Linked DNA regions of Arabidopsis thaliana. The protein of the gene in region 1 interacts with the protein of each later gene in a pairwise test. Each region holds a gene or a part of one and is shown in the gene's direction. Other genes may lie near its edges.

What was found. The genes of interacting proteins can lie anywhere in the genome.
Region 2: the proteins of AT5G13780 (region 1) and EIL1 interact in a two-hybrid assay, tested with the Arabidopsis thaliana proteins (one large-scale study listed by BioGRID).

What each region holds. Positions count from the first base shown.
Region 1 is NC_003076.8:4,446,721-4,450,307, reverse strand, and holds AT5G13780 (Acyl-CoA N-acyltransferases (NAT) superfamily protein), read left to right. Parts: upstream 1-1,632; 5' UTR 1,633-1,704; coding exon 1,705-2,004; intron 2,005-2,419; coding exon 2,420-2,698; 3' UTR 2,699-3,017; downstream 3,018-3,587. Other genes in the region: AGL15 (AGAMOUS-like 15), read left to right, coding at 1-59, 164-263, 335-376, 589-630, 705-856, 1,015-1,180; AT5G13770 (Pentatricopeptide repeat (PPR-like) superfamily protein), read right to left, coding at 3,018-3,587. UniProt on the Arabidopsis thaliana protein: Catalytic subunit of the NatA N-alpha-acetyltransferase complex. Required for male gametocyte development, embryogenesis, suspensor development and the formation of the quiescent center (QC) in the root meristem.
Region 2 is NC_003071.7:11,543,978-11,548,814, forward strand, and holds EIL1 (ETHYLENE-INSENSITIVE3-like 1), read left to right. Parts: upstream 1-1,678; 5' UTR 1,679-2,015; intron 2,016-2,290; 5' UTR 2,291-2,336; coding exon 2,337-4,091; 3' UTR 4,092-4,316; downstream 4,317-4,837. UniProt on the Arabidopsis thaliana protein: Probable transcription factor acting as a positive regulator in the ethylene response pathway. Could bind the primary ethylene response element present in the ETHYLENE-RESPONSE-FACTOR1 promoter.

The sequences.
Region 1 (3,587 bases):
GATTGTGCAGAGGTGGATATTTTAAAGGATCAACTTTCAAAGCTTCAAGAGAAACATTTGTATGGAAACTAAATAAATCTCACTATGCTTGTTCATTACTTTATTCTTCTCTACTTTGTGTTTGTTTTTAGTGTTTGGCTTTGTGTGTTCTGTTCTGTTGTAGACAACTGCAGGGCAAGGGCTTGAATCCTCTGACCTTTAAAGAGCTGCAAAGCCTTGAGCAGCAACTATATCATGCATTGATTACTGTCAGAGAGCGAAAGGTAACTAGTAATATCACTCTTCCATCATCATTTCTCTTTGCATTGTCCTGATTATGGTTATCTGATTTCAGGAACGATTGCTGACTAACCAACTTGAAGAATCACGCCTCAAGGTAAACACTAGCTTTTCCTCTCTAGCTTCCAAATGTAAGCTTATGTGTAATCACATGATTCTGAACCTTGTTAAAACCAGTGGCTATCCTTTGACAAGCTCATGCTCTAACTAGCTAGTGTGCAGTTTATTTGTCTTAAGACTCCTATATAACTAGGTACAGAGTGCAAAAGTATAATTCGTTTCTTGATTAGCCATATATATACTTTGCAGGAACAACGAGCAGAGTTGGAAAACGAGACCTTGCGTAGACAGGTTCTTATTATTTTTGTTGAATCATCTCCTAATGAACGCTTCTTCCTCTGACTTGTAATTACTTGTTGAAACAGGTTCAAGAACTGAGGAGCTTTCTCCCGTCGTTCACCCACTATGTTCCATCCTACATCAAATGCTTTGCTATAGATCCAAAGAACGCTCTCATAAACCACGACAGTAAATGCAGCCTCCAGAACACCGATTCAGACACAACTTTGCAATTAGGGTATTGCTCTTTTAAGTCTATTTGCTGTCATTGGTTGCATTATTGGAAAGCTGATTTAAGATAAATATAAGTCTTTTTCCTCCTCTGTTAGTTATGCATATGCCTTAACACTCACTAACTGGAGTTATAAAATTCTTACTACTTGTGTTTTCTCCAAGGTTGCCGGGAGAGGCACATGATAGAAGGACGAATGAAGGAGAAAGAGAGAGCCCGTCAAGCGATTCAGTGACAACAAACACGAGCAGCGAAACTGCAGAAAGAGGGGATCAGTCTAGTTTAGCAAATTCTCCACCTGAAGCCAAAAGACAAAGGTTCTCTGTTTAGTCCTAGAAAAGTATGGGAGAAGGCTACTAATGTTTCCTCTTTAGCAAGTATCCGATTGTTTTAAAAGTAATTTTAGAGGGATACTTGCAAAAAGAAGAGAAGATTCAGTTATCTAATCTCTGCACCAACTCTCTTTGTCCTTCTTCTTTTGATTATTTCTCGACTGTCTCTCCTATAAAAAAGATATGCCTAGCTGAGAGTTTGAAATCCATAATCTTTACAAGGCACAGAGTTATTTGACATCTCGTATAGTAAGAAAATTTGCGGAGAAATAAGCTTATAGAAAGTGAAGGTTATCGGAATCTTCCTACTCCATTACAATCAAGGCCCAATTGGACCTCAAATCCTAAACTGAAAAAGTTTATAATGAATTTCATTAAATGCCCCTAAAATATAAGCAAAAGTTTCAATAAAGACCTCATATTTCTCTATAATTACAATTCGTCCCCAGATTAATAAAGCCCAAAGGCATTAGACCGAAAACCCTAACCCCTCTTTATCCGCGCGAGAGCAATTGAGCAGCCATGGTTTGCATCAGGCGAGCGACGGTGGATGATCTGCTGGCGATGCAAGCCTGCAATCTCATGTGTCTTCCTGAGAACTACCAGATGAAGTACTACCTCTACCATATCCTCTCATGGCCTCAGCTTCTCTACGTCGCCGAGGACTACAATGGTCGCATCGTTGGCTATGTCTTGGCTAAGATGGAGGAAGAGAGCAACGAGTGCCACGGCCACATCACTTCTCTCGCCGTTCTTCGTACCCATCGCAAGCTCGGTCTCGCCACTAAGCTCATGACCGCCGCTCAAGCTGCCATGGAACAGGTTACTCCTCTAATCTTCAAATTTCGTATATCTTTGCATTCAATTAAGCAGATTCATTGAATTGATATAGAGTTTCGTGTTGAATAATTGGATGATATAGAAGAATTTGTGTGGTTTGAGTTTATGTTGAAGATTGATATAATGGTGTAAGTTAAAGGATTTTATTGAAAGTTAGAAACTTTGTGTGTCAAAGTGATTGTTGCAATTGTCATTGGAATTTGAAGTAACTTAAGCTCTGTAGATTGTATAAAGAGATTAAGTTTTGTCTCCGGTCGTGTTATGCTTTTGACTGACGGAGACGAGTAGTTTCTGATTGCCTGTGAAACTAATAATAGCAGACCTCAAAGGTTGATAGTTGTTTTCACTCTCGAACTTGGACTTTTTAAATTCATTCTCGGTCGGGGTTTTGTGGCAGGTTTACGAGGCTGAGTATGTTTCGTTGCATGTGAGGAGAAGTAACCGAGCAGCATTCAATCTATACACTGAGACATTAGGCTACAAGATTAATGATGTAGAAGCAAAGTACTACGCCGATGGGGAGGATGCTTATGACATGCGGAAGAATCTCAAGGGGAAGCAGAACCATCACCACGCCCACGGTCATCATCATCACCATGGAGGAGGATGTTGTTCTGGTGATGCAAAAGTTGTAGAAACAGCTCAAGCCGTAGATGGTAAAGCAGTTTCCAAATGAGATTCGAAAGCAGATAATTATGAGTATATTGAGGTGGGTTCACTGGCTCGCTCTAGTACTTCTCACTATTTCCATTCATATGATTCCGAGTGACAAATACATTTGGTGACCACTCTGTGTTACTCCTTTGTCTTTCTTTGGTTGTATTGAAAATTTAGCCGTTCCTTTTTTTGATGTATCATTTTGGAAATTCCAAGCTTTCATTAAGGCTTTACAACTTAAGCTGGAAATCTTCTATTTGCAAGATAGCAGATCTCTATTGGCAATATAGTACATTTAATTACAAGAAAAATAATCTTGGCTTGTACAGTTTTCCCTTTCAACTTAAAGTTCCTGTGTTCTTTGTATTCGAATATTTTGAAGTACTAGTTTGTGCAGCGTCAAAGCTTTCCTGTAGCCATCTGATCTGGGAATTGAGACCAGCATCACGCAGAGCATTCAAAGCTGAGGAATAAAGCCTAGCATCAAGCCTGGTTCCTTCAACTTTCATGTCCTGCAACAGCCTCATTAGCTCATCAATCCTACTGGTTTTGGAGAATACACCGACCATGATTCCTGCCATGGCCCTATCAATCTTTCCTCTGTTCATCCTAAACTCCTGGTAAAGCTCCACACATCTCTCCAACTCTTTTGATCTGTTATATGCACTGATCATACTAGTGTAACTCACCTTGTCCGGCAACACCTTCGCCCTCTTCATCTCTTTCCATATCTTTTCAGCCCTCCTTAAGTCCATAGCCCTTCCATGCATATCAATCAAGGAATTGTAAATCCAAATGTTGGGTTTACACCCTCTTTGTTTCATCTTAGCCATGAGTCTCACTGCATCGCTTAGTCTCCGTGTTTTCCCATACATATCCATTATGTTTGAGTATGCAACAACACACTT
Region 2 (4,837 bases), on another chromosome or scaffold:
ATTACATCACATGAGAGTATCGGACAATTTACAAAAATGTATACGAGGTAGTGTATAAGACGGTGTATGGGATAATTCATATGGTTCAGTACAAAATAATATACTAGGCTGTGTGCGTGAAGGGATGTATGAGATGGTATAAACAGAGGTGTATAAGATGATGTACAAGGCCGTGTACAAGATAATGTGAGATTATGTAAAAGATAGTATACAAGATGGTGTGTTTAACTCTGTACAAGTGGTGTTTAATACTGTGTAAGGGATGGTATATGAGACAATGTATAAATCAATGTACAAGATGAGACGAGCTGTGAAATTTATGTATTTACTCTAAGATCCATGAGAGTTTCTTCTTCATGTCTCAGGTGAGGAGGTTGGCGAAAGGAAGGTTAGGAAAAGTGAAGATAAATTTGATTTTGTTACAAAAGTCAAAAACATTTGCCTATATAACTTAAATATGGAGCCCATTATCATTATTCGTAGTTAGTAGAGCTTGTTCACGTTTATGTTACGATCTTGTATTGATAGAAGAATGTTTTCACTTGTCTTCGACTGAATCAGTGTTGCCTTCTCTCAGGTTATATCTTTCGTCTATGCTTTCGTCAAAGCAAAAAATCCCTAAATTAGATGAATTTTATGCCTTGACTCAAGGCATAAATTCATCAAATGTGGTATATAGAGCGTATTTAGCTTCATATATACTATTGAGTTTCCAGAGTCGTACGAGCGCTATCAAGTATCAGAAGCGAATAAAAATAAAATATCCTTACGAAAAAAAAAATCGTCTACAAAAAATAAACATCATTGTCATGTAAGAAAAAGAAAATTGACAAACTAAATATTAGTTCTTAAACAGTTGTTGACCCTTCCTCTCCACTAAATCGTTAACCAAGCTTTCAAAATCAATGTCTCTAACCAATTCTCTTTCGATTGATAATATAGCCAACTCACTCAATCTTTCTTGTGACATAGTCGACCGAAGATACGATTTGATCAACTTCAGCTTTGAAAAACTTCTTTAAGCAGATGCAACCGAAACTGGAATCGTCAACATTGTTCCTATAAAGCAATGGTACCTTCAATATGAGACAAAAATTATATATTAAATCTGCTTTGAAAGCAAAGTGAAATTTTTGTCTCCAATTATAAAGTAACATAACTATTCTAATGAGCTTTTGCTATTTGGATCTAATGTTATCATATTATTACCTCTACAACGTTCATCCTTTTCTAGCGCTTGTTGTTGTTCATCTTTTGCATGCGGATCATATATGCGTGTAATCTGGTCGTTGTCAAATTTTTATTAATTAGCATTTCAAGCCATTGCCATTGTCAACGAATATTCAGTATTTATTAGAAAAATCAACAGAAATTTAATATCTATTTAGTTTTGTTGAAATTTAAAGATATAAATCAATATTTACTATAAATTTAATTTTAGTAATATTTTTCCGATTTAGATTTTGTTATTCCCGTTTTTTTATATTGATCAGTTTTAGCGTTTTTTAGCGGTGAACAGTAGACTCAACTCGGATTGGACTAGACGGGCGATCCCGGTAGAACAGGTCCGAACGCCCGGTCTGGTTCCCAAACACTGCAATTACCGCATCTTGTGTTGTGGACCGGACCGACTATGACTGAATATTGCATTCATTTTGATCCTAAAAATGTCAATCAATGCTCATTTATTTATTATATATTTTGGAAAAAAGTGAGAAAAAACTGAAACGGTGCGACGTTATTAAATCTTTTAAATCCCCCCACCAAAGCATCTGCTTCTTCCTCTTGTCTCTCTCTCTCTCTCTCTCTCTTTCATCTTCAAACTCTACAAACCCAGAAACCACCACACAGTAATTAATGTCTCTTTCTTTCTTCCCATGTGATCTTTAACAGACTTTTCTTCTTATTCTCCATCTCTGAAGTTGTGGGGATTCATCAAGACTTCCTTATCTGTTTCTTTTATAAAACAAGAGAGAGATACCACTTTTGGTGTTCTTTATTTGCAACTCTTTCAGGCAAACACTCTTTGTCTCTTTTCTTATCTTATTATTGTTTCTATTTTTTGTTGATAATACTTTCGATTTTTTTTGGCTCTCTGTTCTTTCTAGATCGTTTGGTTTTATTGTCTATAATATTCATTTTGACAATCTATGTATTGATATGAGAACATTACTTCTTAGTCTCTTTAGTTTTTTTTTTTGTTTTTGACCCTTAAGCTTGATTTGTTGTTTTTAGCTTCTGGTGATTTGTTTGATCAAAGAAAGCTTATAAGTTTTTTTTTCTTTTTCAGGTTAAAGAAATCGATAGGCTCTGTTCTTGATTGTGGTGGAAGAGACATGATGATGTTTAACGAGATGGGAATGTATGGAAACATGGATTTCTTCTCTTCCTCCACATCTCTCGATGTGTGTCCATTACCACAAGCTGAACAAGAACCTGTAGTTGAAGATGTCGACTACACCGATGATGAGATGGATGTGGATGAGCTTGAGAAGAGGATGTGGAGAGACAAAATGCGTTTGAAACGTCTCAAGGAGCAACAGAGTAAGTGTAAAGAAGGCGTCGATGGTTCGAAACAGAGGCAGTCGCAAGAGCAAGCTAGGAGGAAGAAAATGTCTAGAGCCCAAGATGGGATCTTGAAGTATATGTTGAAGATGATGGAAGTTTGTAAAGCTCAAGGCTTTGTTTATGGTATTATTCCTGAGAAGGGTAAGCCTGTGACTGGTGCTTCGGATAATTTGAGGGAATGGTGGAAAGATAAGGTTAGGTTTGATCGTAATGGTCCAGCTGCTATTGCTAAGTATCAGTCAGAGAATAATATTTCTGGAGGGAGTAATGATTGTAACAGCTTGGTTGGTCCAACACCGCATACGCTTCAGGAGCTTCAGGACACGACTCTTGGTTCGCTTTTATCGGCTTTGATGCAACATTGTGATCCACCGCAGAGACGGTTTCCTTTGGAGAAAGGAGTTTCTCCACCTTGGTGGCCTAATGGGAATGAAGAGTGGTGGCCTCAGCTTGGTTTACCAAATGAGCAAGGTCCTCCTCCTTATAAGAAGCCTCATGATTTGAAGAAAGCTTGGAAAGTCGGTGTTTTAACTGCGGTGATCAAGCATATGTCGCCGGATATTGCGAAGATCCGTAAGCTTGTGAGGCAATCAAAATGCTTGCAGGATAAGATGACGGCGAAAGAGAGTGCTACTTGGCTTGCCATTATTAACCAAGAAGAGGTTGTGGCTCGGGAGCTTTATCCCGAGTCATGCCCTCCTCTTTCTTCTTCTTCATCATTAGGAAGCGGGTCGCTTCTCATTAATGATTGTAGCGAGTATGACGTTGAAGGTTTCGAGAAGGAACAACATGGTTTCGATGTGGAAGAGCGGAAACCAGAGATAGTGATGATGCATCCTCTAGCAAGCTTTGGGGTTGCTAAAATGCAACATTTTCCCATAAAGGAGGAGGTCGCCACCACGGTAAACTTAGAGTTCACGAGAAAGAGGAAGCAGAACAATGATATGAATGTTATGGTAATGGACAGATCAGCAGGTTACACTTGTGAGAATGGTCAGTGTCCTCACAGCAAAATGAATCTTGGATTTCAAGACAGGAGTTCAAGGGACAACCACCAGATGGTTTGTCCATATAGAGACAATCGTTTAGCGTATGGAGCATCCAAGTTTCATATGGGTGGAATGAAACTAGTAGTTCCTCAGCAACCAGTCCAACCGATCGACCTATCGGGCGTTGGAGTTCCGGAAAACGGGCAGAAGATGATCACCGAGCTTATGGCCATGTACGACAGAAATGTCCAAAGCAACCAAACGCCTCCTACTTTGATGGAAAACCAAAGCATGGTCATTGATGCAAAAGCAGCTCAGAATCAGCAGCTGAATTTCAACAGTGGCAATCAAATGTTTATGCAACAAGGGACGAACAACGGGGTTAACAATCGGTTCCAGATGGTGTTTGATTCGACACCATTCGATATGGCAGCATTCGATTACAGAGATGATTGGCAAACCGGAGCAATGGAAGGAATGGGGAAGCAGCAGCAGCAGCAGCAGCAGCAGCAAGATGTATCAATATGGTTCTGAATATTACACAATCTCTGTAACATTCATTCTTTCATAATAACTCTGTTACCTACTTACCTGACTTGGGTATGTATTCTATTGGCACCAAACACTCATCTATATTGTTGATGATGATGAAGCCATCTATTTTTTTTGTGTCTGAAAGTCATTTAACTCGCTTCATTGTTTTAATAATGTCACTATCCATTGAACATCATTCTCATGCTACAAGTTTGATTCTTTGAGTTCTATTTTTTAATCTTTGGGTTTAACCGTATAAGTTCAAGTAGCCAGCATAACAATCATGAAACAATATGGAACTCTTCTCTTTTTTCTCTTTTTCTTTTAAGTGTTAAGTCTGTCATTTTTGTTGGTTGTTCTCTAGTCAACTCAATTCAATAATCAATATCATAAGAAAAACACATGGCTTAGCCATATTTATAGGGTTATAAAAAGCATTTATCTTATAATATAAGTTATCTTCTTTGCTTTCATGTAGAAAGTATATTCTCTTATAATTTGTTTGGTCAAACACAATTGAATAATATAGTAACAGGTTGCCAACAATTGCATCAGTGTCGGCTACTGTGGCTTCTTCTTCACCACTGGCAAATTCTAATGTAACTTTTTTTATCCACATTGTAATCCAAAACGGATATTTATATAATAATAAGGTGAAAAAAGCCAAAAATGGTGAGAGTGTTTTTGGGAGGAAGAGAAGACAAACGTTGTTGTCTCCTTTATTTTGGAATTGGAGGACAGGCCAT